Linked DNA regions of Arabidopsis thaliana. The protein of the gene in region 1 interacts with the protein of each later gene in a pairwise test. Each region holds a gene or a part of one and is shown on either strand. Other genes may lie near its edges. The genes, in order: AT2G28960, RAC6, AT4G38690 and AT3G28220.

Evidence for each region.
Region 2: the proteins of AT2G28960 (region 1) and RAC6 interact in a protein complementation assay, tested with the Arabidopsis thaliana proteins (one large-scale study listed by BioGRID).
Region 3: the proteins of AT2G28960 (region 1) and AT4G38690 interact in a protein complementation assay, tested with the Arabidopsis thaliana proteins (one large-scale study listed by BioGRID).
Region 4: the proteins of AT2G28960 (region 1) and AT3G28220 interact in a protein complementation assay, tested with the Arabidopsis thaliana proteins (one large-scale study listed by BioGRID).

What each region holds. Positions count from the first base shown.
Region 1 is NC_003071.7:12,436,090-12,446,031, forward strand, and holds AT2G28960 (Leucine-rich repeat protein kinase family protein), read right to left. Parts: upstream 6,504-9,942; 5' UTR 6,259-6,503; coding exon 6,168-6,258; intron 5,862-6,167; coding exon 5,333-5,861; intron 5,239-5,332; coding exon 4,766-5,238; intron 4,425-4,765; coding exon 4,280-4,424; intron 4,184-4,279; coding exon 4,112-4,183; intron 3,925-4,111; coding exon 3,853-3,924; intron 3,750-3,852; coding exon 3,672-3,749; intron 3,593-3,671; coding exon 3,435-3,592; intron 3,331-3,434; coding exon 3,098-3,330; intron 3,022-3,097; coding exon 2,895-3,021; intron 2,797-2,894; coding exon 2,731-2,796; intron 2,655-2,730; coding exon 2,465-2,654; intron 2,378-2,464; coding exon 1,969-2,377; 3' UTR 1,629-1,968; downstream 1-1,628. Other genes in the region: AT2G28970 (Leucine-rich repeat protein kinase family protein), read left to right, coding at 7,830-7,899, 8,019-8,210, 8,500-8,554, 8,963-9,438, 9,523-9,667, 9,764-9,835, 9,933-9,942.
Region 2 is NC_003075.7:17,021,583-17,028,450, forward strand, and holds RAC6 (RAC-like 6), read right to left. Parts: upstream 4,285-6,868; 5' UTR 3,933-4,284; coding exon 3,834-3,932; intron 3,714-3,833; coding exon 3,626-3,713; intron 3,540-3,625; coding exon 3,430-3,539; intron 3,356-3,429; coding exon 3,292-3,355; intron 2,866-3,291; coding exon 2,801-2,865; intron 2,724-2,800; coding exon 2,658-2,723; intron 2,571-2,657; coding exon 2,469-2,570; 3' UTR 2,255-2,468; downstream 1-2,254. Other genes in the region: AT4G35940 (uncharacterized protein), read left to right, coding at 90-173, 621-1,329, 1,449-2,011. UniProt on the Arabidopsis thaliana protein: May be involved in cell polarity control during the actin-dependent tip growth of pollen tubes.
Region 3 is NC_003075.7:18,072,243-18,078,914, forward strand, and holds AT4G38690 (PLC-like phosphodiesterases superfamily protein), read right to left. Parts: upstream 3,716-6,672; 5' UTR 3,458-3,715; coding exon 2,501-3,457; 3' UTR 2,078-2,500; downstream 1-2,077. Other genes in the region: GRP2 (glycine rich protein 2), read right to left, coding at 1-609; AT4G38700 (Disease resistance-responsive (dirigent-like protein) family protein), read right to left, coding at 4,341-4,913; AT4G38710 (glycine-rich protein), read right to left, coding at 5,899-6,109, 6,305-6,343, 6,613-6,672.
Region 4 is NC_003074.8:10,521,579-10,529,108, reverse strand, and holds AT3G28220 (TRAF-like family protein), read right to left. Parts: upstream 4,929-7,530; 5' UTR 4,690-4,928; coding exon 4,349-4,689; intron 4,252-4,348; coding exon 4,079-4,251; intron 3,908-4,078; coding exon 3,625-3,907; intron 3,021-3,624; coding exon 2,863-3,020; intron 2,770-2,862; coding exon 2,612-2,769; 3' UTR 2,376-2,611; downstream 1-2,375. Other genes in the region: AT3G28223 (F-box family protein), read left to right, coding at 188-554, 632-1,440; AT3G28216 (uncharacterized protein), read left to right, coding at 5,685-5,831.

The DNA.
Region 1 (9,942 bases):
ATCACATGGTTCTATCATAAAAGCATTGTTTTAAAAAGAAGTTTAAATGGTCTATATGATGTTATATATGCATCAACATATGGTAGCAAGTATTTTCTAAGTGTTAGGGTTTAGTGGTTTTGTTATTAAACGGCTTTAAGAACATTAGGTAGATCTAGACAACTTTCAATTTATCGTCGAAACTTTGAAATATTTTAAGTTTATTATGAATCATAATATCTTTATAATATTATCAGAAATTAGCTAAATTTTTTTTTTTATTTAAGCACTTAAACCGCCTACATGTATCTAGGCTCCAATTAAACATTAGATATTGGATTCTAGTTTTTTTTAACACTACTTAAAAGAATAATAAGCTTTTACCATTGCAAGAAAATAGAACATAGAAATTGTATTTGGTAAAGAAAACCCAAAATGGTTGGAGCTTGTGAAACCACTGGCTACTACTCTTCAAGACTTCTCCAACCTCCCATGTGATCATCTCGACAACACTTAAATCCGAAGTCTTACCAAATCATAAAAGTAACTAAACTACGTGGACCATTGGCGTATGGCTACGTACCCAAATCGTGAAAATTTTCTTCGTAGAGGTTTTACGAATCCAATGCGGTAGTCCCCACCCTATGAAACTGTGTCTCACCATGTGATTACACCAAATCATATCTGACTCTAACATAGATAGCTTTAACAATTATATCATTCATTCTATTTTATTGTTATTAGTGATCAGTTCTGTTATTGTTTCAGATATTTTGACTGGCTAACTGTTTACAGCAAACAAGAAACTGATATAGACCTTTTAAAAAAAAACTAAGTTAACAGTTTTGTTTTGGAAACATTAAAGCTTTCAAATTGCGAATAACACTTTCTCACATAGTGCATTTTCGTTCTGACGTTTAACGTAATGCTTATATGATAAGAAAAAGAAAATATTCAAGTTTTTTGTTGGTAAAGAGACATTGAATAGGCAGAAGACGTTGCTATAAACTGAACCAACCATTTTCAACTTGTTCACACACATAACCGTTTTCGCATTAATAGAAAGAAATCAAAATAAATATGCTCTCATTAATCCTCTTACAAACATGGAACCCGGATCCTGCTATGGAAAATTATATATGTTGAATGTTCTAGTAACTAATGTGACCGTAACTAGCCTGATAAGCTTATGCAAAAAAAAAAAAACAGCTTATGCAAAATCATGGCATGTGAGTAGGCGAAAACTTATACAAATACAATCAAAATAATGTGATATTAATATAGGTATGTTTACATATCTCGTGAATTGATATCCAATGGACCTGCAAGATTTTCATCTAATATAACTTTCATTTTACGAAGAAAATTATACTTTGGAATTTGATGTGAGTCGTGAACTAGTCGTCTTTCTTACTTTTTATGATTATGAATCCTAACTTCTTGGTCCAACCTATATATATACAAAGATTTCATACCGAAAGTCAAATATATGATATTATGGAGATGTACTATGTGAACAACAAATGTATAATTATGAGACTGGTCCAGAGAAACATTAGATGGAAGCAGATTTGTAGTCCATGGACCAAAAGAACTAGTCCAAAACTTGATAATTATCAAACAAAAGTTTTTGATCAATTACAAAAGGAGTTAGGGAAGCATGTAACATAAACAATGACAACATATTTTGGATCAGTGAGCATATATAAACAATAAAAATACCATAATCCGATGAAAAAAATCATCAGAGATTTGCAAAAGAATCATTTATGATGGATCACCGCCAAAACACACACAAGGCCACAACCAACATAAAACCAAACCAAACCAAACCAAACAAAACATCCACACTAATATCACATACGACCACAATCACAAGTAAATACAATGAAGTCGTACAAATAAATGACCACCAAAAATTATATTTTTGTAAAGTAAGTCAGGGAAATCCAAAATCCTTAATAACCATGGGATTTTTTTTGGCACAAGTTATCGTGCTTTTGGGTTAATTTCGGTTGTAAAGCTTGTGCTCATTTCAACAGAACTTCTTGATCCCATGTCTTCTCTCACTCCTCGCTTTGAGTTTTCTAATGTTAGACATTGCTTTAGTTCATTAGTAACTTGAGACATGGTTGGTCTTTTCTCCGAAGAAGGATTCACGCAAGACATTGCTATCTCAAGAGCCTTCCAAACAGAAGTAGGCTCATAATCTCTATTGAGTCTTGGATCCACAACGTTCTCAATATCTCCCTTAGTAAGCATGTATCCCACCCATGCTGCTATGTGCGGCTTCTCTCGGGTTTGCTGAATCACAGGTCGACTTGTGATGATCTCCAATAATACAATCCCAAAGCTATATACATCACTCTTTTCGTTCAACCTATTTGTTCGATAATATCTACAAACAAAACATGAAGTATTTTTTTTTTCAAATGAATGAGGAAAAACAATTTGAATCAAACTAGTTTGGTGATGTAAAACTTACTCGGGATCCAAATATCCAGGAGTTCCAGCAACAGCTGTTGAAACATGAGTTTCACCTCCAACTGGAAATGATCTTGAAAGGCCAAAATCGGCGAGTTTTGCTTGGAAGTGTTCGTCTAAAAGTATATTTGTTGTTTTTACATCACGATGTACCATTGGAGGTTTGCAACCCGTATGCAAGTATTCTAATCCTATATTTATATAATTAAATTGTTCATGTTAGATGATCCATATAAAGTGATTAATGCATTTGAGCTAAGAACGAACCTTGCGCAGTTTCGACGACAATTTTTAGTCTACTTGACCACTTCAATGGAGAGCCACCCCGTTCTCCTATAATTAAGAAACTTTTAGTAATGTTATAAAAGCATGAACATTAAAATATGGCTAAGTAATCACTATTTTAAAATGTGGGAAATTCAAATTTATACCTGATAGATGTTGTTTTAAGTCTCCGTTCGGTGCATACTCATAAAGCAGGGCCAAGTTGCTTTCTTCATCACAATATCCAACCAAACTAACCAAATTGACGTGGTGCACTCTCAAAAGAAGTTCAACCTGACCACCCATGTCCAAACAAATTTAAGAGCCATCACATGTTACAATATATTCCATGTATTATGTATTAACATACCTCAGCTTTGAATTCCTTATAGCCTTGTACTGATGATTGAGAGAGTAGTTTAACAGCTATTGGTTGCGTACCATTTAAAATACCATGATACACTACCCCAAACCCTCCTTCTCCAAGAACTCTTTCAAAATTATCTGTTAATGCTTCTACCTCTGAATAAGTGAACCTTTTCGTTTGAGTAAATATAGACGGTCTATTTGGTAACCCATGTTGCACTGTAGGTAATGAATCAACTGTCACAACCAAAAAGTTCCATGAGATTAGGCATCTTTTGGTATGTCATCATCATGCATGCATGTTACGATAAGAATATATATCTCATTGTATAATTATGTACCTTGCGTTGGCCTTCTCTTTTTGAAAACAAGAATGAGAATCAGTACGGCTATAATGATGAGCACAGAAGCTACTGACGCAACAACTGGTACAATGTACGTTTGATTGTTATTATTTTTGCATGACGCATCGTTACACAACTTTGGGTTTCCTTGGATCCTTAAGAAAATAAGTGTTGTTGAATAAGACTATAGGTTGAGGAAAGTTGATAAAAAAAAAAGAAGGGTGAAAATCTTACGTTAGCTTAAGCCCATTCTTTTCTCTATCAAGAAGCAATTTAGGAAGAGGACCCGTAAGGTCATTCCAATTTAAATTTCTGTCAAGGTAAACACAAAATTACAATGTCAATGTAAAGTGACAACAAGTATACCTAGTGAAATATAAGTGGCCGGCCATTATGTTTGTTTATATCAACTTACATGATCGATAATGACTTCATGCTGGCTAGAAACTCGGGCACTCCTCCAGTAAAACTATTATTTGACAAGTCTCTAGTATTTATAAAACGTTAAAAAGTCAATCTATTTTCCGTTAATAGGATAAATAAAAAAATAGTATGAGATGAGATATTTTTTTTCGTCCAATTTGTTATAAGATGTGAAAAATTAGAAATATGTTGGTCACAATATAAATGTTTTCTCATGGATCGCGTTTAAGTAAAATACTAATAGCTCTTACAGTTTTCGAAGCTCGGTCAAATTTTGGAAGGCAGGCGCAATGACCCCTTTTAACCCTCGTGATGACAAATCTCTGTTCACAATATAAGAACATTTTTTCAGATATAAGATACTTAAGACTTAAGAGATTTAGGTTTCAATATGCTTATGAGATATATAATGATCGTACAAAGAAATAATTCTTGGAGGAGTAGACTTATTTGTGTAGCTGCATTTTAGATCTTCCCACTTTAATAGTTCAGGGACACAAGGATCTCCTTGCCAACTAATCATCTTCAATCCATAAAATGCTTCGATATCCTTCATAGCAGCGACTAACATAATGGTTCGAGGAGGAAGCCAAGAATTAGCATATAAAAGATTAAAGTTTCTTAATGAGGGTATGTACTAAATAAACAAAAATTCCACCCTATTATTTGCAAAAAAAAAAAAGATTAAGTTGGTTCATTTATCGCGCTATTTTTAACAAATATCATGTCATATTTCATAACACAATTTTTAACATGGTAGTACAATATTTCAAATTAAACACGATAAACACATGAATATTTTCTCCGTTTTGTGACCATTATTTTTCCCCCAATTTTGTGATTGTTTTTTTTTTTTTTGCAAATAAGCCCTTTCTTACAGAATAGAGAATGGAATAGTGGCGTACCGTCATTTGGATTTGTTTCAGCGTATGGAAAGTCCACAACCTTGAAAGCCTCAATAGCACTAATCAGCGGTGGAAGAGTTGACCTTGGAGTTCTAACGAGTTTCAAGTAGCACAACCCGGAGCTACATTTGTGAGGTGATAGGTTATATTTGGTATCTGATTGTAACATCGTAGGACTATATGCTGACTGAATAATATCTTCTTCCAATTCAATGTCGAATTCTCTAGTCTCATTGCCCCTCAAAGCTTGGATTTCGGCAAAGTGAAAGTACACGTTAACCTTGTCACTGTCGTCATCTAGAGACACGTAAAATCTCAATGGCAAGCTGGCATTTTCGGGCGTGATTCCCATCCTACTTACAGCTTCTGGTACTTGAAAGGGACTCGAGGATCTCACGTTGAGGGTGGTGTTCACATCCGTTTCAAATTCATTATATCGGTCCCATTTGCGATCAAAAATATCATCAGGATACCTAAAACCATTTTTGGAGTAGCCATGCAAAAGTAAATGAATCATGTTAGATTGTTTTTTTTTATAAAAGAGTTGCTAAAGTTGAGTTTACATACCGTATAAAACCGGTAGAATTGCTACTATAGGCCCGCCGGTAGATGAGGTCTAAGGGACCGAATTGAGTCAAATATGAATCATTTCTTAGTGGCCGTAGTTCCAAGGTTGATATCATTGGTATAGTTGATCCTGTTTTGACAAGACAAATCTGCAATAAGTTCGACGTTGTCATGTAAATGATCTCACGATCTTTTCCGAATTCCAAATCAACCGCAATCCACATGTTAGGCCCAACATGTAAATCAAATTTGGGATATACATTAAGACCATCATAATTTCCATATCCGAACCCTGCTCTTATCAAATAGTTGATGCCTTGCTCTACTTTCAGATTATAGCAGTTTCGTATTCCATCGGGAAAATATCTCAAATCCTTGTACTGCCTGTAGATATATGTGTTATCATCCCCAGCTTCACCACGTAAACCACTTAAAATAAAATCAGCATCAGATGAGAATGTTAATCCGGTTCGTGGGTCGGTATAAGGAGACTCATTAACGGGTAAACCGCAATCCAAACTGATGAATCCTGGCAAGATACAAAATGTATTATTAGTGAAAAATAATGTTTTCCTTTTGTTAGACCATGAAGCTTATAAGGAAGACAATCAAAAGTTTTGGAAAACAGAGAATCCTTTATTTTCTTTAACCAAATCTCTTATATCTGTAATCGTTAATATTATTTTCATGGTGGCTATGCGTACAACAAAGTAGAAATCGGTTAGTGATCTCGACCAGTCGAGCAAGAACACTCAACTACTTGGCTAATCCTTAAGTCTTTATGTGTCAAAAACTGAACATGAAGCAATTATTAAAAAAAGGTATATAGAGAAACCTCGTTGATCAGGCGGCTGAGCTTGAACAAGATGTGTAATGGCCAAAGCCCCAAAGATGAACACCAGTAAACGTTGACGACGACCTTCCATTTTCAAGTTAAGTTAACATACAAATTTTTGAAACCAAAGACAATCTGAAATATATGATACAATATATTGATTTTCTAGTACAAATGATAGAAATACTTTAGATGAAGATCAATTAAAATCCAAAACACATGTTGGCGTGGAATACTCTCCAATTATAGATTCATATCCAAGCACGACTGAAGAATGGTCTAACAAAGATATATACATTTATATTCCACTTTGTGGAAAAAAGAGAGCAATTTAATCATAAATCAAAGCACCTGATGTAATCTTTGTTTAAACAATGTAAAACCTGCCAAGTTGATCTAATGTCAAAGCTTTATAAACTATATGATAATTCTGCTAACGACTTGTACTTAACAACAACTTGGTGGATTTAATACATTTTGTTGACTTTCACTCAATTATAATCGCAATACCTCTGCAATAATGTAAAATTCTTGGTCTTCAAAAATAAACTAAGATTAGTCTTTTCTTGACAAACCCTAATATTCGTTTTGTTTGCCTGTATATGCATTATCTATCTATGGCTTACTCATAGACGTTAAGAGATAGCTGGCCTCTTATAGTTATAGCTCATATTCTCAGTATTACTATACATTGTCAACCAAGAAATTCTACATCAACCTTTGTTAATATCCCTTGTTAGGTGGGATTTAGTGGGAAAAGAGATCAAACCTTATTTTGGAAAGATCATTTCCAAACGCTACTGGACCATTATCCACTTGGTTCACAATTTGCTTTTTTAATGGAGCTTTGACAATCGGAAACTGTATGTGTTAACTATATAAAAATATTAATTATGTGATAATTCTTATTTTTTATTGTTGCTTTTTTAACAAGTTTGTAATAGTTAAAGTGTGGTTGTAAATATATTTTTAAAATTTAGTACTGGCTACCTTGATGCACATTATTTGTATAAATACCTGAGTTTGTAAGAAGCAAATCATTGAATCAAACAAAATGATCTTTATCTTTATTTTTTCCTGTCCATGTTGTAATATACGAATTCTCTCTTTTACATAATTATTCTACAACAAGTTACATAAGTTACGTCTATAATTATTGTGGATCAGACGTAATGTTTCTTTATGTGAATCAGACGTAATGTTTCAAATAGGTTGTAATATGTAATTGTTTTTCATATGTAGTAAATCCTTTTTTGTAACGACCGGGTTCAAACTAATTACTTAAATCAAACCTTGTTATATCCTTGTGCTCCAAGTCTAACGATCAATCGAAGATTTATTATGTTTGGTCAAGGGTTTAAAGAAGACATATACAAACCTTAATACAAGGAAATTCCTATACATGTCGGAGTCTTATGATCATAACCTATTATTTTAAACACAAGTTGGGGTTGGAACATGTCAAAGAAATTCACACAATAAACCAAAAATAAAGCAATTCTCGCAATTATTCAATCTTCATGTCTGGCTTAAGTTGACTTTCTTTAATGTATTATTCCTTCCAATCTGTGTATGTGAGGTATTTCTCATTTACGTAGCTCCTTGTTTTCACTAAGCAAGTCTTTTTTATGTTCTTGATTTCCATATTAGCTTTCCAAGAAGATGATGAGCCATCTTTTGTTGGCCATAATTGGAACCTTTGCCGTTATAGTTGGCGCCCAAAAACAAGAAGGTAATAATTTATAAACTCTTTAGTAGATATTCACCGAGGATCATCCATCCTTTAAATTGATATATCTTCTATATATAGTTTTTTTTTAAACTTCGTCGATCCTTTTTATGCTTGAACAGGTTTCATCAGTTTGGATTGCGGATTTCCTATTGAGGAATCTCCTTATAGTGATCCATCTACTGGATTAACATTCACATCAGATTCAACATTTATCCAGACTGGAGAAAGTGGTAGAGTCGATAAAGAGCTCAACAAAATATTCCGAAAACCATATTTGACTCTAAGATACTTTCCGGAAGGAAAGCGTAATTGTTAGTCTGAATGTCACTCGTGGCACAAATTATCTTATATTGGTTACCTTCATATATGGAAATTATGATGGTCTTAATATTTATCCAAACTTTGATCTCTATCTTGGTCCTGATAAGTGGGCAAGAATAGATATGGAAGGAAGACAAAATGGTACATTCGAGGAGATCATACACAGAGTGAGGTCAAGCTCTTTGGATATTTGTCTTGTTAAAACAGGACCAACCTCGCCAATAATATCATCTATAGAACTACGACCAATGAGAAATGATACTTATCTTACGCATTCAGGCTCACTGAGGAACTCTTTCCGGGTTCATTGCAGCACTTCTGATAGCGAAATAAGGTAATTAGTTGACTTTGTTTAAAACAATAAGTGGGAGTTTTCTGTCATTAATCATACATGGCATCAATTTTCTTATACATAAATTATTGTACTTTTGGTTAGTATATAAACATCGTTATTCATGATTAACTTGGATAAAAAAAAACAAGTTGCAACTATCACCGCACGACATGTTTTGTTTTAATCAATTTTCTACATTTTTTTTTTTGTTATTTATTATCAAACTATCATATCGTTATACAATTTTTTTAAACATGTAAACAAAAATGATTCGTGTATGAAATAAATGTAGTTTGCATTGAGATTAGATTTGTGTGTGTCAGCTATTTTTTTTCTATTTAAATCGGTTTTAACAAATAACAAGGATTGATTTGCTTAATTATGCTGCCTAATGCAATTTATTTGCAGGTATGATGATGACTCCTATGATCGTGTCTGGTATCCATTCTTCAGCTCTTCGTTTAGCTATATAACGACTAGTCTCAATATAAACAATTCAGATACATTTGAGATACCAAAAGCTGCACTCAAAAGTGCTGCCACGCCTAAAAACGCTAGTGCACCGCTAATCATAACTTGGAAACCAAGACCCTCTAACGCTGAAGTTTACTTCTATCTTCATTTCGCTGAGATACAAACCCTTGCAGCCAACGAGACGAGGGAATTCGACATTGTTTTCAAAGGAAACTTTAATTATTCAGCTTTTAGTCCTACCAAGTTAGAGCTACTTACATTTTTCACAAGTGGACCAGTGCAATGTGATTCAGATGGTTGCAATTTACAGCTCGTAAGAACTCCGAATTCAACCCTTCCACCTTTGATCAACGCTCTTGAGGCTTACACTATTATCGAATTCCCACAGTTGGAAACAAGCCTAAGTGATGGTACCTCACTCAATCTTTCACTTATTACCACATAATTGTTTTTGGCTTTCCATATATGCTATTGATTTCTATTGTTTATGATAGTTAATGCTATCAAAAACATTAAAGCTACGTACCGGCTAAGTAAAACTAGTTGGCAAGGAGATCCATGTCTCCCTCAAGAATTATCCTGGGAAAATCTTAGATGCAGTTACACAAATAGTTCTACCCCACCAAAAATCATTTCATTGTAAGGGCATTACCAAACATAGTTCCTATTTTTAAAACAAATTTAACCAAATATATTTGTTAAGTGTACATTTTATTTTATTTGTTGCATAATTAGAAACTTGTCAGCAAGTGGATTAACTGGGAGTCTACCCTCAGTTTTTCAAAATCTAACGCAGATACAAGAGCTGTAAGTAGTACTTCTATTGTTGACTCATCAAACCAAGAATGATTTGTTCGGACGTGACATGTAAGCGAACCATATGTATTTATATATTGGCGTGCAGGGACTTATCT
Region 2 (6,868 bases), on another chromosome or scaffold:
AGATCTGAGATTTCATATTTTCCGATTCACCTTCGCAATCCAATTTTTTTTGTTGCTTGGATTTTGTTTGTGTGTAATCGTGTGGTAAGATGTCTCGGTGTTTTCCGTTCCCGCCACCTGGTTATGTACTAAACGGAATCCGCGATGAGGCTGTGATCGTATCATCGATCAAGGTTTGTTTGAGCATTTAAATCTCGGTTTTGGGTTTCGGGTTCATGAGATTTCGAATGCTCAGCTTCCTTGTGTTTCCAGTTTCTGGTATCATCTGTGTTCTAAGGTTTACTAAAAATTGTTGGCTTGAAAGATGGGGGATAGAGAATGTTGCGAGATTTTAATTGAAAAAGATGATCTTAAGTTGTACTTAAGTAAACAAAAAGCACGCATTCGAATCAATGTCTCAATATTAATCGTTCGCTTAAGGTGGCAATTTTAATCAAAAAGATGCGAGTCAAGCACATTCATTGTCTACTCTAATCAAAATGTGTAATTTGACTAAATGTGCGAACACCACTTGTTTGGAGTTTAAGGGCTGGTCTATCTGAGGGCTTGTTTCTGTTTTTTTGTATTGAATTTGGCAAGTTCTGTGAACTAATTGATGTTGATTGCTTGTGTAAATTCAGGGGGTGGAGGAGAAAGCTAAGAAAGAACAAAGGAGGAAGGATAGAAGAAGTGATAAGAAGGATAAAAAAGATAAGAAGGAGAGGAAGGAGAAGAAGGAGAAGAAGGAGAAAAAGAGGAAGGAGAGGGAAGGAAAGGAAGTTGGAAGCGAAAAGCGCAGTCATAAGAGACGGCGTAAAGAAGACGGTGCTAAAGTTGATCTTTTTCACAAACTAAAAGAAAGTGAAGTCAATTGTTTGGAGAAGAGCAGCCTTACTGTAGAACGTGAGCTGCTTCAGTCGACGTCCCAAAACTCTTGTGATAGCACTCTTAACAGCAATGAGATGTTACCGAAGCAGAAGGAGGTCCAGCAGCCTCTCGATGGTAGACATAACAACAACAACAACGAGAAGCGTGTGGAGAAGCAGCAGCCTCTCGATGGTAGACATAACAACAACAACGAGAAGCGTGTGGAGAAGCAGCAGCCTCTCGATGGTAGACATAACAACAACAACGAGAAGCGGATTGAGAAGCAGCAGCCTCTCAATGGTAGACATAACAACAACAACGAAAAGCTGATGGAGAAGCAGCAGCCTCTCAATGGTAGACATAACAACAACAACGAGAAGCGGATTGAGAAGCAGCAGCCTCTCAATGGTAGACATAACAACAAGGAGAAGCAGAAAGAGAAACAGCAGCCTCTCGATGTTAGACATAACAACAACGACTCTGGTGAGTTTGTTTGTGTTTCTTCCTTCCCCGGGGAAGGATCTTGTATTCTTGTTGGGTCTAATTACCTTATCAGGACATTGATGACATTCTTTCTTCAAATTGTTGATATGAATTTGAAGAAAGCATCATTCGGATTCGATTGCCTATTCGAAGGCAGAAAGATCCCGAGGTGATGATGACCAATAAGGATCAAGAAAAACCAGGTCCTTCTCGGGGAATAAAGTTAGACTCGTCCCAACTTCCTACTAGAGAGCCGGTTAATCAACATCCTTGTTCCACTTCTGCAGCAGAACATGCTTCGAAGCCACGAGAAGAGAAAAGGAAAGATCCCATTTTTAGAGGGAAACACGGTAAAGAGAAGATATCCTCATCCTCTACTCGAGAAACTTATCAACCTCCTAAAAGCCTATGCAATTGCCCTCCATCCATGGTGTTGCAATTCTTGGACGTAGTTGAGAATTGGGTCCCTAACACGATCGAGAGAAGAGTAGACCTCATTAACTCTGAAGATGAAGAATGTTGGTGGTCCATGAAGAAGCCGCCAAGTAGCACCACAGAAATATGCAAACAACTTAATAGAGAGAATGAGATCAAGCAAGTAGGCAATACAATGGGGTGGCCATGTGCTCGCCTTTTACCAGAAGCTGATGTCTACGCCTTACCTTACACAGTCCCGTTCTGATAACATCAAAGAGCAGGAAGTTTTTAACAAGGAATCTGGTCGAGACATCCATGTTCTGGACCAGACAGTTTTTTGGTTTAGCCTTAAAATTCCAAGGTTGTATAAGAAGAACACACTGTTTGTTATTCTTTGCGGTTGGTAACCAATATAGTAATATCAGTATTTCGTCTCAATCTCTCTTGTTCTTATAATAATAGAATGAGAAATCGAAATGGAATTTTCATGTGAAGTGGATTAGTAACATTATCACAATTGATAAAACATTTGTAAATAACTAGACAAGCTTTCTCGGCTATCAGTTAAAATAGAAGTTGAATTAACCTCACAATTCGTTTTGTACGGAACTAAGAGATCACAAATGAAAACGGAAAACAACAACAAAAATGAAAAAGCGATACTTTTTTAAACCACCCTGTCATCCTCATCTCAAAGAGCTTCTTGACTTCCATGAGTGCTATTACAAGATGGAGCAGGCCTTTTGTGCTTTGTTCTTCTTTTTCTTCTGCTTTGGAGGTTGAAGGACCACTCTGATCGCTGCATCAAACACGCCCTTCACGTTCTGCAGTTATAGTCACATTGTTTTCATCAAAAGATGAAGAATCCAACACCGAAAAGATGATTCATGAGATGTCTTTTATTCGTTTACCTCTTGTGATTTTGAACTGCACTCGATGTAAGCTGGCGCTCCAATTAGCTTCTTCAGCTCCTCTCCCTTCCATGCAGAGAGGGAAAATGCTTAACGGTGGTAAAGCTGATAAAATTGCACTGAGGAAATAACTGTATTCTTACCTGAACAGTGGTAATAGGGACAGCACCAGGATGGTCGATGAAAAACTGTTTGTCATCTCGAAGATCTGACAACAACCAAGGTTAGACAATCAAAAAGGCCAGGATCATGAGTTGACTGAAGATCTTGCAAGTGTCTTTTATAAAGGTATACACTTGCTATACAGTAGCTATTTCATTGGAGGATGCTTAAAGGCGTGTGTTATAGGATATGGTTGCTTTATCACAAGAAGTGCAAGATACAAGAAGAAGCCTGTTGACCAATGATATTCTCTGAAAACTACCCTCAGTTTCACCTAACGAATACATCTTGAACATGTACAAGTTTTAACCACAATCAAGAGAAGGTGAAGTTTTATGTCCACTAATGTCATGATATATTATACCAGAGCAGCTTAATAAAGTGAAAAGGAAAATGGCAGTGTAAGCATGGGAATCAGACATATATATAAATAAATGCATAAACAAGGACAAATGTGAGAGGAGGAAGTAACCTAGTTTGGTTCCAACAAGGACAATTGGGACACCAGGAGCATAGTGCTTCAACTCAGGAATCCACTGTAAAAGAAAAGAAGCATCAAAATTTGGAACTCTCAATTGTTAAATAGTCGACCAGTTCGGACGAAACTGACCTTCTTGGAAACATTCTCATAACTAGCCTTACTAATGAGAGAGAAGGCAAGAATGAAAACATCAGCACCACGGTAACTCAAAGGTCTTAATCTGTTATAGTCCTCTTGCCCTGCATAAACCAAAAACATAATTTCGACCGATTCATCAAGGAAAGCTCTCTCACCAAGGATTATGAATTGGATCATCATTCATTACCTGCAGTATCCCACAATCCAAGATTCACCGTGGCTCCATTAACAACCACATTTGCACTAAAGTTATCGAAAACAGTCGGAACATAATCCTGTTCCAATGGAAATGTATACAACATTTTTAGTATGTATGGATCCCAATTCATATATGGCACAATCAGAATCAAATGAATCAGATATCAAAAAAAGGAGGGAGAATGATTGATGAATACCGTGGGAAAGGTGTTGCTGGTATAAGAAATCAGCAAACAGGTTTTACCAACAGCTCCATCACCAACGGTGACGCACTTTATGAACCTTGATGCGCTCATTGCCTCTTCTTCTTCTTCTTCGAGCCAAAATATGTCACAATTTACCAAAAAACAAAAGAGATCAACCTCAGATTTAAACCTGAGGAAGCCAGAAACACCCACAATGTGAAGCCAATTCCTCCGAAACTTCGACCATTATCTTTCAATTAACCATCTCAAAACCCTAGATATGTATAATGTGGAAACAAACCCCCCAAATAGAGAAAATCAGAAATGTGAAGAAGGAAGGAAGATGAATAAACAAAAGGGAACGTGAGGACGATGAATTGGAGGATGCGAGAGAGAGAGAGAACAACAACTAGAGAGAGAAAGAAAGAAGTAGAGAAGAAAGTGATGGCCGGAAATAATTGCCATTGAAGCGTTCGATTAATCTCAGCCATTCAACCTTCCGACTGTTTTGCAATCTTTTTACTTTTTTTACTTCTTCTGTTGTCTTTTAAATAATTACTATTTTACTTCTTCTTCTTTTTTCTGTTTGATTTTTTAGTGTATATTCAAATTAATTTATTTATCTTGTATACAAAAAAGTAAAATAAAGGAGTTGCACATAATGTATTTTGTCTTTGTTGTTTAAAATGCAAATAAGAAAAATTAACACTGGCTAAAATTATACGTGTTTTTAACTGTCTGTAAAATTTCTAGTACGATTTGTTTTACTATTCTAATTCATTTTTTTACTAGTTTTTCCGGATGCTCACCAAATGTGAAAAAATCTCTAAGTTATGATTCAATATTTATGAAACCAATCAGCCAATTGCGGTACAATAAAGTTGTAATGCACTAGTTCTTCCGCATACTCGCCAAATTTATGTTAAAATTTCAAGGATGTTTGATGATATTGAATGTGGTTAGTTGAATTTGCATGTTGGCTAGTGAGAATGTGGTGTATGGACCAAACCTGAACTTATTTGTATGTCAACAAAGTGTGGTAATATTTTCTGCCAAAAATTGCAATAATCTCAACTAACAAATATTTTACCGAGTATGTAAAATGTCAACATTGGTCATATTTGCCTTTCGTGAGGAAAGATGTCTATGCTAATGAACTTATTCGGGTCAACGTAACCTTCCTTGATAAGAAAACCTGCGACAGCGAGAACAAAAACGTTAAGAGTTGGGAATCTTTCACAAACCATGTAATTAATTTGTCGGAAAAAGTTAGCATTTGAAAATGTTCAAAGTAAAAGTTTTTATTTGATGTGTGTACGATGATACAATCACAGTTTTGATAAACCAGGATTCGTGGAGTTGGAATCAGTTTTATCAAATCAACATTCCAAAATTACTAACAAGTTTGAAAATATGCAATGACAAAAAATCATAAAAATCATAAATACACGAGCTACATATGGATGAATGAGAGAGTTAATCTATAAAATCCGACCAAATAACTCACCAAGTCTACGATTTATTATATGGCTTTTAACAGAGTAACGACTGAGAGAGACATATAAGAAGAGCATTGATGAAACTAACCCTGAACATCACGGCGAGTAGTCAACTGGAAGTCCAAGATGATACCCCGGCGCAACAAGCCCGCTATCACCGCCAAAGGTTGCCGTGGATCGTTTGTCGTGACTGTGACGGATCATTTATCTCTTCTCTCTCTCACCTGTAATTGTCAGAAACAGTTTAGATGGCAGAAATTTCTCAAAGATAAATTACACTATAATAACTCTCTTTAACATTATGACTACAATTCCCAAAATCAAGATGTTTCAGAAAATACACGGCTCAATTCGTCAAACAAAAAGGAGAAACATCAGATTCTTACCAAACCCTAAAGCAGAGTCTCAAAGCAGAGTTCTTGATTACGATGATAGTATATAATGAAATCACGGGGAAATTGGGTGAACGCTCTCTGTTTTTCTTTCTTTGCGTTGGTTGTAGTGAAGCTTGATGAGCCTTCCATTTCTAGCTATTTGCTTGGAGAGAAACCTGCAAGAACACTCGAAAAAGAAAACAGAGGAAGATGTGAGTTTAGACAAAGTGAAAATAGTATGATGCGTAAAACTGAAACTGACGAAACTTTAGTGAGAAGAATAGACCATGAAAGTGTTTCGATCAACAACATAAGTCGTAGAAAAGTAAGGAAACATCTAAGAATTCTTACCAATCTTAAAAGCAGAGTTCGGCTAGTGACTACGAGAAACCTTGGACGAACTTTGTTGAGAGGAATGAAACTTGCTCTCGATTAACTTTGGATGAACTTTGAGCTCTCTGACTCTCTCTCTCTTTGGTTTTTCAACTAGAAAAAAGACTTTTGCTTTCTGAAACTACGAGAATAGTAAGCGATTATACAGAAGAAGAAATGATTGTGGGAAGTAAGTGAGTGAGCACGAGCCACTTATATAGGCAGCTTCGGATTTCTTCTTTCAACGGCTACTTTTCTAACGTCTATATTTTCTTACCGTTGTAAATTTTGCGTCTCAAATAAGTTACCGTTTGTGCATGAGGTGACAATTGACTTGACAGGTTGACACCGAGATGAAAATTACACAACAACAAAAACTAGAAGCATTCATAATAAGCCCAATGGGCCAATAGAGACCCAACCAAAACCCCAAACCAACAAAAAATTAAGGACACTGTTCGTCATTAGTGGATAATTAATATTTTAGTGTAACACCTTCACAACGATCGTCTCTCAAGGTCAAATAGTAACTTAGTAAGTAGCCCTCTTGATACGAAGTAGGAACCAAAACGCTTGTCTTTATGGATTAGAATGTTTGTCATATCTTGTTCAAAACTAAAAATGTCTAAAAGTTATCTTGTTTTTATTTGTTATTACAATAACGAAATCATTTCAATCAAATTGATCTCAAACAACCAATGTAGTTTAGTGTTAGGTAGAATCTTCTTCCGAGATAGTTATGCCCCAGCTCTGCTTGCGACGGGATGGTAACTAAAACTTTTGAATAAACTATAGTTGCATA
Region 3 (6,672 bases), on another chromosome or scaffold:
ACGTCCACCGCTGGTGCAATCCCTGGCGAAATGTCCCGACTCGCCACAGCTGTAGCAGCTTCCCCCGCCGCCACCACCTCCACGGCCACCACCTCCGTAACCACCACCTCCTCCGCCGTATCCGCCTCCACCTCCGTAGCCACCGCCGCCTCCTCCGTAACCTCCACCGCCTTCAGAACAGTCTCTCGCCATGTGACCGGGCTCACCACACTTGTAGCAGTCGCTGCCTCCTCGACCACCACCTCCTCTTCCTCCGTATCCACCACCGCCACCGCCGTATCCACCTCCAGATCCGCGTCCACCTCCTCTTCCTCCACCGAAACCGCCGCGTCCGCCAGATGAACCACCACCGCTGTTTCCTTGGACGGGAGCGCCGTCGGGTCCAGAAACATCGATGGCCTTGGGACGGTTGTTGTTGTCGATCTCAACCTCGAACTCTACGGCTTCTTCGGCAGCGAGGCTACGGAAACCCTCAGATCTGATGGAGGACTGGTGAACGAAGAGATCGTCGCCACCGTCGTCAGGAGTGATGAAGCCGAAACCCTTCTGGGTATCAAACCACTTGACGGAGCCTTTGCGCCTCTCACCACCGCCGTTGTCTCCGCTCATTTTGATTGGAATCTCTTAATAACTCACTTTTTTCTCTAAATCTTTAAAAAAAACGAAACCCTAGAAAATACTCTGAAATCTCTCTCTCCTCGCAGCTGCTGTTTATATGCGTATAGGAAGGGTGTGGCAAGGGTATGACTGCCACGTCACCCACCCCAATTCATTTTTTCCTTGTTTCCAAGAGGAAATAAAATAAATGTTTTTATTTAGATCTCTATTTCTATATATGTTTGTTCGATTTTTGTCTATTTTTCTAAATTGCCTTCAAAAAAAACATCTGCACATTCCGAATTGTATATTCGAGCGTGATATTAAAATAAAAAATCTCGCGATTAAGATACCCAGAAAATTAAAAAAACATAAATTTCGTTGATTTCGAAAATGAATCTGCAACTAAAATATTAAAAGAAAGAAAAGTAAGTTAAAAAAGAAAAGAGGAGTTAGAAAATGGGCCAGCATGTGATAAGGCTTAAATTGATTAATCCATTTCGGGAAAGAGAATGGATCATTGGCCCAGCAAGCAGTTGCATCTGGACGGTTGGGGTGTTTTTCACGAGGGATATCAGCCGTCAGATTCTGATTTTAGATCTGAAAAGCTAGCTCTCTGGGGAATAGAGAAACAAAGATCAATTAATTTATTTTTATTTTTTTACTTTGTATGTTGTATTTTATTTTTTGTTGCAGTCAACAACAACATTAAAGAATGACATGCAACGTCAGCAACTGGTCAATATACTCTTTTCAAAATTTTCTCAATCTTGTGGTCAAAATAAGCATTAACTGTTGTTCCACTTTCCACGTACATTTTATGAGGCAGATTCACAAATTTTACCAAACAGTATGATAATTGTATGAAGTAATTTGAGAAGACTATTGACCGCAAAGAGATTGTCCTTTGTTGGATATCGATTTTTGAGTATCGATTACAAAACTAAATTACCAAGTAATTAATTTATAAGAGAAATAGAAAATGAGTAAAATTTAAAAATTATTGAGAGATAGAAAATAGATCCCTTTAAATTTAGCTTATAATTCGAAAAATGTGCATGTTTTTATCTTAATCACTTACCGTGAGAAAGTATAGGAGTAAAATGATGTTATCGTAAAGTGCCAAACAACAAATCAAACTTGTGCTTAGCAAAAAAAAAAAAAAAAAAAAAACTGGTATCATTTGAGAACATGACTTAAAACGCAGCCGTTTAAATAAAAAAAGTTGGTTTCTCTGCATCCCATGTCTAGAGTCTAGAAGAGTGGTCTCGCTGCCGATCTCAGCAGGGAGAATAATTTGGCTCGGCTCAATCACTCTTGTGGATCAAATGCTCTTCTTCTTCTTCTTTTGTGTTTCAAGTCTTGAGAAGAAATCTAATCTCAAATTATTAGGATTTTGCACCATGTTTCCATCATCTCAGTTTATAGATATAATCAAATAATGAAATTATAGAGATGCATTGTGTCATTAGCTACTGATATGAATTCTAGCATAACTGATTCTATTATCTTTTTGTTCTTGAAGATCACAGTAGTGTGTAATAAAAAGGGGCATTGCTGCAGAAATATAGTCATCTCTCAGGTTAGCAGCTCTCTTTCACTTGTTAAAACTAGATTTTACCATCAACTGTATACTTCTTCCTTCTGTTTTGCCTGTCTATCAACTACAACATCTGCAAAAGTATCAGAAATTAATAGTAATGAAGAGTTTGGATATCTCGCAATTGTATCAGGATTCAAATAAGTTGTAATGAATTGGAATATACACTCGTAAATCACACACACATACAAATACACACTCACATGTTCTCTTATACACAAGCAACCCTAAAACACATCAACCATGTTCTGATTCTTTTCCTTCAAAATAGATACACAAAGTCTGTCTCCACACGCTCATTCCTCAGGCCTTACCTTCAGCTCTCGCAAAGGTGAGCCCAACGCAAGCATCAACAAATTCATTATCTATGAAATCAGTTGAGAATATCTGCAGTTTATCAGCACATCCTCTTTTTACACACTCTATGATGAATACCTTGGCGTAGCAATGTATCCTCTTAGTCACCGGTTTTACACACATTATTGGGTTATCGGGCTGCGGCGTCACTGTGTTCTCCACCCGGTAAAAGAATTTCCTTGAAGTAGCTGGTTGCTGCTGGCTCAAATGCTTGATGTTGCTCTCGAATTTGGTCGATGGAAGATCTGTATCGATCCAATTGTCTTTAAGGTAACCAGCGCTCCAAAGAGGATCACCATGCTTAGGCTGAGGCGATTTCCTCGGTTTCCAAACGCAGATCACTCTCTTGGGAAGCAGCTCAGCGACTGTCTTGGAGAACACGTGATCGTCCTGGTGAATCAGATGCTCTCCAAGCTGTTCCACAAGATACTTATCAAACTCCGGTGGGTCTTCGTGTCCAAACTCTGTTCTGATCTCAAGAATGACAATCTCCGACTCTGTTTCGGATAGAAACCGTTTGAGATCGGCCAAGACAACGTCGACACTATAAGTCTTGAGGATACCGTGGCATACACGGCGATCTTCTTGGACACGAATGTCAAGGACTCGAGTACCCGCCACGAGCTGGTTATAGATGGAGAGAGATTGGCACTTAGCAAAGGGACGAGACACGAATCGGATACCGATTTTGTTGGTGGCAGAGTCGTGCGTCCCAGGCCAGACGATCTTGTTGATGTGAAGCTTTTCAGGTCCAACGCCGGCCATCCAGTTTTTACGATCGGAAGGCATGTAATCACACCCCGGAAACTCGCAGCCGCACGATTTCTCGAGATCGGTGAGGGCTTTCTTCTCCGTGGAGATGGCTTTTCGCCGCTCGAGTTGTTTGGAAAGGTGAGAGCCCATTGCTGAGGATTAACCCTTTCCCTTTGCTCTCTCTTCTCTGATCACTATATTGAATTCTGTTCTCTCTTGTTTATAAAATGTTCCATGCCTTCTTTATCAATAAACCTTTACTCATAAGTCGTTATGATTGTTTTTTATTTACTTATTATTGGTTTGAAGAAGTTACGAATTATACGTTAATCTTTTAATAATTACGCTACTTTCTCAAAACACCGTTGACATATTCGCAAATTAGAAGTAACTTTCAACTTTTAACTTAACAAAAACCATAGAAAAAAAGTAGTAGCGTTTAATATGTAAGATTAACTGTTACAATTTTTATTGTGGGAACATTTTAGTGTTATAAATGTGAACTGATTGATTAGTTGAGATATATTGAAAGAGTGGTTGAGTTGTAATTGATGGGAGAGTGGGTTTACAATGTATGGTAGGTCCATTTTTGTTGTATAGCTGTCTTCACTGTTTGTTATTTGTCAATTTCTAATGCCTGGCTATTTTCCGACGTGAAAGATATCAATACAACGTGATTTTTATTTCTTGGAAGACACATATTCAAATTTTCTATGAAATAAAAGTCGTTCCTAAAATTTAAACAAGGCATCGATAATTAATATTTTGGATAAAATTCGGATAGGATCCGATGGAAAACCAATCATATACACTCACAGGCCCTATCATGTCTTTTGTAAGACTATCTCAAATATCACGATCCACACAACTAAGATATGTAAAAGAGATTACTAGTATAGATTTTGGGAATTGAGAAGAAAGATTGCAACATAATTAATCAATTTTGATCTCTTGATCATGCAAAATTCAGTTTTGATCTGAATAATTGATTTAGTTGGCCTTTTTATTGTTTTAATCGGAACATATGAATCGGTTAATAATGATAAACAGTAGCATCATATCGGAGAACAGCATCACCAGTCTTCATGTCAATCTTATTTGTTTTTACTTTGACAAAACCTCTCGCCATTCTGAATTTCCCACGGCCACCAACAATCGCGATTTCTCGCTCTCCGACCTCTTCCGCCACCGGATTCCTCGAGAAGATACTGATCGAGCTTCCATTAAACTTCCCTGCCGTGAAAGCCAAATCAGCGTACATGACGATCGTGAATTTGCTCAAGTCTTTGCACCCGGAGACATACATCCCTTGACCATTCCCGATCTCTTTCGAGTGTTTCTCCGGCCCGACGGTGAGCGGATCGTCTATCACAAACAGGCTTCCAAAACCTACCGGCGAAGCTGAGCCACCGGTTAGATTTGCATGTGCGATTCTAACGGCGGTAGGATTTTGGCCACTGAGAGTATCATGGAGATAAAATCTGACACGTGTCACTTTCTCCTCATTCAGTTTAGCCGGTTTGGTGTTGCCATAGTAGGATTCGTGACGCGCCATAACGGCCATGCTCAAACAGAGTGTGAAAAATATTATTAATGTGCTCTTCATAATTTATAAACTTAAGGAATTGATATGAAAGTTTACTATCCAAATGAATCTAGAACATATATATATATATATAGTTTGATCACTTGTAATTTTAGGAATGTTTACAGGAAAAAGATTTTCTCCTATAAAAAGAGGGTATATGTCATTATTTAGAAAATCTATTTGATATTTTTCTATATAACAAAAAGAAAATAGTAAATGCATATGATCCAGGTATTAACTTTGAAAATTTTCTGTCTGATATTGATGATATGTTCAAAATTGTAATAGTGTTTGACAACTTTGAAAACATGTAAAGAGATTTAATTATTTTAGAAAATTATGATTCTAAAAAGCTTTGAGATTCTGCCAAATAACTAGCATAAACTTTATTCGAGGTAAGGATATGTACCACGCGCACCTTAGGAGCGTTGAGCGCGTGTTATCAAAATGGGTAAGCTATATAGTCCAGCCAAAATGCCTATTTTTGATCAATTTTAATATATTCCCAGCTCTAAAGCGCGTGGTATTATCATATTCCCCGTCCCACTACATTCTGTGTGTTTGTACAGGTTGGATTTATTCCTCACCACATATATCTTAAGTGGACTGCACCGATCAAGAAGATTATAGAATACGGGCCAGATCTGATACTGGGTCGGGTTAAGTTGGGCCAATTGGGCTCTTAATAACAAACATCACTCTCTCTACGCACCATTGATCACTGATCAACTAAACGCTCCCAAATTCAAAGACAGATTTAAACCAATAATGAAATTGTACAACTCGTAAAAAATAAAAGACACCCCAAAACCCTAAAAATTGCAACAGAGTATGTGGTAAAAAAAAGAGACAGAGAGATATTATAAAAAAAAAGACCCTACCAAAATTTTCTCTAGAGTTCCCCCACACAACTTAACTTATCCAAATTAAACAACACAAATTCTCAGAAGCTAAACTTCAAGAACCCAAACTATCACAATCCACAAAAATGCCTTTTGACTCTTTAGATTTTGTCCTCCGTCTCTTCCTTCTTTGCCTCTTCTACAGCCGGTTCGCCACCAGTCTCTTCCTTCTTAGCCTCTTCTACAGCCTGTTCACCCTCAGTTTCTTCCTTCTTAGCCTCTTCTACAGCCGGTTTGTCCTCAGTCTCTTCCTTCTTTGCCCCTTCTACAGCTGGTTCCTCCTCTTGAGCATCCTCCTCAGAATGCTCCGTGCTTCAATGTTCAAAGACAAAATAATTTAAGAGTAAGAAACATGCTTACAAAATTTACAACTTCCCACAATACTCAACAACACTAACTAAAAAACCCATTACCATCACGCAGAAAGAGAAAAACAGAGCTCTCTAAACATGGGATGCCAGATCAAAAAAACAAAACAGAAAGAGAGATCCAATCTTTCAGCTTCACTTCAAGACATCAACTTCCATGTATGAATGTAGAGAAAAACTAATAACACCAAATTTAACATATTAACTACTATACTAATGCAGTGATCCATAACACATGAATGATCATCCAAAATCTCACTGTTTATAGCATATATATGAATCCCTATCTCCCACAATATACACAATTTCTTAGACCCATGTCAATAATTTCCACAGACAGTAAGAGATCAATACTTTGCCCGACTAAGATGGTATAATCAGAAAACAAGCAGGCAAACTAAAGAAACGAATCAACCAAGTTTTATTATAGTCAAAGAAGATATATACCTTTTCCTCCAACTTCTTTCAATACGTTCCTCGTCTTTACGGCCATTGCCAAGACCAAAG
Region 4 (7,530 bases), on another chromosome or scaffold:
AACTTTTAATGAGCCTTTGACTCATTCGTCTTCTATTTTTCCATTTAGTTCTTTACCGAAGAGTTATTTCCTTTTGTCACAAGAATCCTTGCCGACATGAAACAAATTTATTTGTATATATCTATATTCTTAGGGTTAGTTAGTCTCTGAAACAGAGTAAACCTAGCCCGATCTAAAACCTAAATCAATGGAGTCAGGAACGAAGAAGAAGAAGATAGATTACTACACAGAAGATCTCGTGGTAAATATATTAGCGAGATTACCACTAAAGAGCATCACAGCTTTCACCTTGGTTTGCAAGGAATGGAAATCAATAGTCGAATCTCAATATCTACACGAACTTTTTATGTCTCATCATCAAGACTCGCATCCTTCATGGTCACTCATGTGCAGAGAAACTCATAAAGAAGTCATTGCTCACTACAGATGCGACACTTGGGGACTTACACAATCTTTAGGCTCTTACATCTCTTCTTTCCTAACACACAAATTCGGAATCCACAAGGAAAAGGTTACTGTCGAGGCTTACACTGATGTAGGATTGATTTTGGTTAGTTTGAAACAGACCTACTATGTTGCTAATCCAATTTCACGACAATGTGACCTCCTCTTCCTCGTCTGCCTCGAAGAGCTGATATATACAAACCTTCTGGACTTGCAACACGAATAGAAAACGGCGTCGTTTTAGGTTACAAAGTTGTTCTGATGAAAGATACCACCGATACCGACGACATTAGCTTACTCATATATTCATCTGAGACAGGCCTATGGAGTTTCAACACTGTCCAATCTCCTTATCTTTTGAAGCGTGTTGCTTGGTTCAATCCTGTTAGCTTGAATGGAAACCTTTACTGGCTTTGCTACAACAACTATCGTGATCACCTTGTTGTATCCCACAATTTATATGCTACTGGTACGGAATCTGATCAATGCAGAGTTATAGAGTTCCCTCATCTAGAAAACGATGTGTATTTTAGAAGAGCTTTCACAACATCCCAAGGATCTCTTATGTATATGAAAATTATCAATGAAGAAAAAGATGATGGAAGTTTAGGGCTTAAGTTATGTGTATGGAGGTTAAAGAGTGGGAAATGGGAAATAGTATCTGAAATATCTCCGGCTTGTATCAAGAGTGGTTTAGATTACTTTCCGTTGGCAATAAACCCTTTTGATGCTAATAAAATGTATTTGTGGAGTGAGATGCATAAATGTTTAGTATCTACTAGCTTGCTCAAAGGCAAGTTTCGGCGTCACAAGAAGTTGGAATATAGTAGCGATGGTCGCATTATGAGCTTTGCTGGAGACTGGAGCCCGTTTGAACACCTCTTTAACCCATGTTTCTCCAGGTTTGCTCTCCCGCATTGGCTGCATCGGATCCCTTCCTCGCCTCCAACCGACAAGCTTCGAATGCGAATAAGATTACGGAAAAGGGCAACTTAACAAAGTAAGCAGTAATTACTCAAACTGTTATGTTTCTGATATTATTTACCTTTCTTCTCTATACATGTTTAGAATCGTTTTGGCTGAGGATTTGTAGCTTAACTTTTATGTAAATCTTGTCGTAGGGCTTAACATCAGCGGCTTATATTTTTTATTTTTATTTTGTCTACAATTTTTTTATGAGATTTTGATAACACTAGAGATTGTAGGAAGAGCAAAACTTTTTTATTAACCTAAACTTCTTTAGGATAGTTAAGGAATCTTGAATTGTCTATTTGGACGTAAAGTTAAAACCATCCAGAGTTGGAGCTCCCTTCTTTAGTTTCCTTTAGGATAATCAATAAGTGTTCTGTTTCCAAATGAATGGTTTTAGAATCAATGTGTCTTTGTGACTTGTGATGCAAGCAAAGAGCCAAAAACTGTGTGGATAGGGTTGGATTTTCCTCTTTGATTTGCTACGTACGTTTTGTCATCTCCCTTCCAAGCCTTCATCAACTAGTAGAGAGTATTTTCTTTGCTTCTTATTTATTTCCTAAAAGGAACGAGTTGTATTAGATATTGGTAATTTTGATTTGCTTATTGATGATTGTTAAAAATACAATGAAAGAAGAGTATGGATTGGTTACATAGCTTAATTTACATAGAGTATACATGGCAGATATATTATACATTATGAATTGCTTGGTAGATCTATATGTATTATATACACTACATAACCAGAGAAATAATAGAGTAACAAACAGATGAAAGAGAGCAAATAACAAAGAAGCACTCGTGAAACTTAAGAACATGATCGATGTTTATTGTTGGTGCGCAAAGCTTGTTATTATTTCAAATTACTATCATACGCGCAAACTTATTCGGTTGATTTTAGAAGTGTTATTCCACGGTTAGTGTTAGTCTTAGTCGCAGCTAGAATGAAGTAAGAACAAGAGTTTTTCAATGGTAAATTAAGACTGCTTTTATTCTTAGTTTTCATTTATTTAAATAGGAAACAAGTACAAGAAAAGCTAGCTTGGAATCAACGATTTCTACAAACTAGGGAATTGGGAAAAGTGGGAGATAGGCTCCTAAACCTTAGGAAGACCAATCCTCCAATTATTAGCACAAAAACACTTAAAAAACAGAACACAATTGGTTCCAAGCTCTCTGGTTTTGCATTATGCAAAACTTAACTTGGAAAGTATTTTGTGTTAGAGAAATCTTCAAATTCAATCTCCATCTTCAATGTATCATTCACAAGAAGACCTTTAGAAGTATCCTTAAGATCAGCAAATGGTACAAACTTCTGGAATCCCCAACTGTTTGCTTGATCCGACCAGCTTTCAACTGTCATTAAGTTAGTGTTAATTAAACTCTAAAAGAAAAAAATTAATAGAGTAAGTAACATTAGCCACACTATTATGGTTCGATATAATTTACCTTTCTTCTCCATGTGTTTAGAATCTCTCTGGTTTATAATCCGTAGCTTAGCTTTTAGGTAAATCTTGTCATACGGCTTAACATCAACCGCAACAACATATAACGACAACGAGTTACCCTGTCCTTCGCCATCGCCACTTGGATACACTTTCAAAGCCCTAAGAGTTGTATATTAAAATATTGTAAATAGTTAATTTTTTCTTGAATCAGTATTAGTAAGCCTGCGCAAATAAACCTAATCGAATGTACCGAACTAAAATCGAAACAAAATAACAGAATCGAACGGAATCAAAAATTAAAAAATAATCAAATGGATACTAAATTCTATATATAACCGAAAGAACCGAAAGAACCGAAACTAAATGGCTACGTACCAAAATATCCCGGATAACCAAAATATCTGAAATATAAATATATTTCCAAAAATATTAGTTATTTTTAAACTAAATAATTAAAAATATTAGTTATTTTTAAACTAAATAATTAAAAATATATATAAAATAGTTAAAATATTCAAAAATAATCAAAAATATCCAAAAATAACCGAAATATCCAAAAATAATTAAAATATCCGAAAATATTCAAATCAAAATAACGGAATGGATACTAAATTTAAAACCGAAAGAACCAAACCGAAATTTCAAAATAACCAAATAGATAATAACTTTAGAACCGAAAAAACCGATAACGGAATGGATAACCGAACATCCAGGACTAAGTATCAATATGTGGCTTAAAGAATTTATGACATGAGGAACTCACCAGCTTCTCCCACCGATCACGAACTTGTCAGAGACATAGTACTGTTTCTCTAGTGACGAGAAATTGGGTAACGTCCATTTGTAAAGGCGGTCATGCAAACTCTTAGTGAATGAGAACACTTCCCATTTGTTAAAAACTTCAGTGACAAATACGTCCACACCGAATAAAACATTGTCACCGTCGAAAAGCCAACCAGCATTGGGATTAGCCACGTCGGTGTAGGGTCTAACATTACCATATCCCCAATATGGTTTGAACAGAAAAAAGCGTTTTGCATCCGTCTCTGTGTACCAAGACATGCGTTTGAGATTGTGTGTTTTTAAATGCAAATTTTGGCATTTGAAACTATGCAAACTATCAGCGTCTCAATTGTTTTAAATTTAAACGTTGAAAATTTGATTAATACAATATAGTTTATAAATAAGATATAAATAGGGCGTTCGGATGTATATACCTTGATATGTTAAGTACTTGTCCTCTTTCCGGTTATAAATGAAGAATTTGACTTCTGCGTAAACTTCTTTTGGAGAGTTAAGGAGTGTTGAATTGTCTATTTGGACGTACATTGAAACGTAATTAAGTGGAGCTCCTTCCTTAATGTTTCCTTTAGGATAGACAATAAGTGTCCTGTTTGCAAAAGGATATATAGTCTTACAATCAAATGTGTCGTTGAAAATTTGTGATGCAAAGACATATGCAAAATGTAGGATAAAATACTACTTACCAGTTGTATCCACCGGATTCAAAAGGACGGGATTCGTACTTCTCGGCGTTTGGAGAAGTGGCGAATTTTATGAAAGATTCGATTTTGAGACAATAGGTAGATGGTGGGATAACTCTCCATATTTCTCTCCTATCAGATAGCTTATGGGAGGACATTGGGCTATCGATAACGGCAATGGATGATGTTGTTGTTGTTGAAGGTTGTGTTGTTACGATTTTCATGAATTGGAATGCAAAGAAACAAGAAATGAAGCAAGCCAAGCCAATTGCTCCATAGTTTGTCTTTCTCTTCTCCTCTTGAAACATGTGGTCTTCTTTTTTTATCAACCCCTTTTCAGACATGTTTGGTTAAGTGACTGAATTGGTAAGTGTGACGGTTATAATTTATAAGCAAATGACTGGAATATGTAATGGAGTTAGTTAGATATATTTATCTACACACCAAAAAGGTGAGTTAGTTATATATGTATGATGAGTACCAACATTTATTTGGTATTTAGCTTTTTTTGTTTGGTATAAAGAGTTCTTCACCACAAATATTTATAGCGGAGGATCTTTTGTGCGTTCGATAAAAGTGATAATGTTATTATGAACAAGTTATATATTCACGTGTCTTGAGATTTCACGTCGGTATAAGATGGATTGCGACCAGATAAGATTTCTTGAGTTATCGACCAGAAAAGATTTGTTCAACACGTGTTTTCAAGAAAAAGACAAAAGTTTAAGTTGTACCTAAATTTAGCATGTAACGTCAAACACTCCAGACATAGCTTTAGCTAACAACAAGAAATGGACCCAAACGCTCTACACCACAACATAGTTTTGTTCTTCTGTTCCGATCCTAGCCTCTGTTTTTGGATTTAGCTTTAGCTTTAGCTATAATGTAGAACTTCAGTAATCAATACAAAGACTAAAAACTATATTTTATTATATACGTATCAAAACTATCGATTAAATGCTTAATAATTAATTTTTAAAAAATGTTTTTATTTGTAGAAAATATTTTTTATTAATTTATAGTATAATATATAATAATATTTGAGTTTTTATTTTATAAATATCTAGAATTTATAATAAATAAATTATTAGGAATGACCTTCCAATGCTACTCATTTTTAATTCTACCCTTTCATGTAATTCATTTTCATTACTCTCTTTTAATTTTTAATAACCATATATCCTTATTTTTTTAATGTTTAAAGTTAACAAAATAAAATTGTGTTTTTCCTACCAACAATATTTCGACGATAATTTTTTCGCCAAAAATAGTTTTTTTTGTTTGTACAGACGGTAATGTTTTTACATATGATGGAGGCCAGATTCACACACTTGTGTGCATGCAAGAAAATTTTTTTAATAACATGATGGAGTCGGTGGGATTGTCTTTGTTTGGGCAAAGGATACGGTATAAGCTTCCTTTTGAGAAGTTTATAGAGCTGAACCGTTGTATACTAGAGATGATATTTTCGAGAGAATGTGTCTAGCTGCAAAGTGGACAAAAGCGGTTGTTATATTTACGGAGAAGGAATAGATTCTTGAAGAATGTAATGATGAAAAGAGCTTGTGAAAACGTCAATGGTGAGAATGCTCGAGTTTGTGATGATGGAAATGATGTTAGAGGAGGTGATGATGAGAATGACATTTTTAATGTTGGAATCCAAGCTAAAAGTCGGCCACAAAACAACTTGGTGAAGGTCTGATACGTTCATGAGAAGTTGGCACGTGTGAGAACTGAAGTGAGAGATCGGAGTCACGTGTGAAGAAACTTATAAATAGTAAGAGTCTAAGAGAGAGTAGAGAGAAAAGCATCCTTCGTGATCATATTGATGTTGTGAGTAGAATTAGGGCTTATGCATGTGCTCTGTTCTTAGGAGATAAGATTGGAGAACTGTAACTTCAAGCTTATCGATTAGGGTTTTGATTCTTTGTAATTGGATTGATAGATAAGAAATACAAAGGATTACACTTTCATTCTTATCAAGGTCCGAATCAAGTATCACAAATTTCACTTAGTGATTAATTGTGTAAAAGCTTTTGGTTTGGGAAACTTATGATGTTCAGGATGATGGTTTTAATTTGGATTATCGGATTTATGTGTAACATGATGGGATGATGGTTTTGACTATGATCTCGGCTTCAAGATATAGATTATGGTTTTTGGCTATTTGTCTTGAATTTTTAATTTGTAGGATAATGGTTTTTGTCTTGTAATTGCCTCGGGTTTGGTATGTTATATACAACATTATTATGTTATTTATTCATTACTTTTGTGGAGAAAAGAGTGATAGAGATTGCTTGGTAAGAAAATAAACAGACACAGAAATTGGTAACCGAGTTCACGGCCTCAACCGCTACGTCTCGGGGTCTCGGGGGAGATCTCTTGCTCCCAAGCTTCACTAACTTGTGATGATGTCTTTTGGTTTTACAGATTTGCACTCAAGAAGAACAAAGATTCAAGAACAACAAAGAGGAAGAAGAAAGCTTGTTTAGGAAGCTCTTTTATCTCTCTTCTCTAGAACTCTTTTTAGATTCTTTTCTCACCTACCTCCACTATACGTCGTACGTTGTAATGCATATATAGGTGACTTAAATGAGCAACAAACTTTTGCCCACATTTTGTTCTTCTTCACCTTGCCAATTTCGTTGGCCCATTAAGGCCCAATGTTTGTGTTATGTAAAACCCAAACAACAACTTTCAATTGAAACTCAAACTCAATCCAATAAAATACAATCAGAACTCTTAACTCAACAAACTCATACTAACTTTTCATACTTAAAAGATGAAAACATAGACTACAAACCATAACTAAACTACACCCGATAAAATTTTTGAAGTAACGTCGAGATTGAATCTCTTTCTTACTACAAAAGTTCATGGCTTTGAGCTCTCCAATCTCCTTCTCACATCCTTTTAAAAATGCTTTGATGACTTCAATCTCATTTCCATAGCTACTTGATATGGTCACACATGTGCGTGTCTCACCTGCTAGACTCTCCATCTCAGCTCCCACATCATATAAACCTTTCTCTAAGGATCACACATCTACTTGTGTCTTGTAAACAACACTCTCAACCTCTTCCATCTCTTCAACCATAGCTATATCGGTCCATTTGAAACAAATGTCGATTAGCGTACAGCAAAATTGAGTATTATGTTAATGATATTAATCACATATTCTCTTT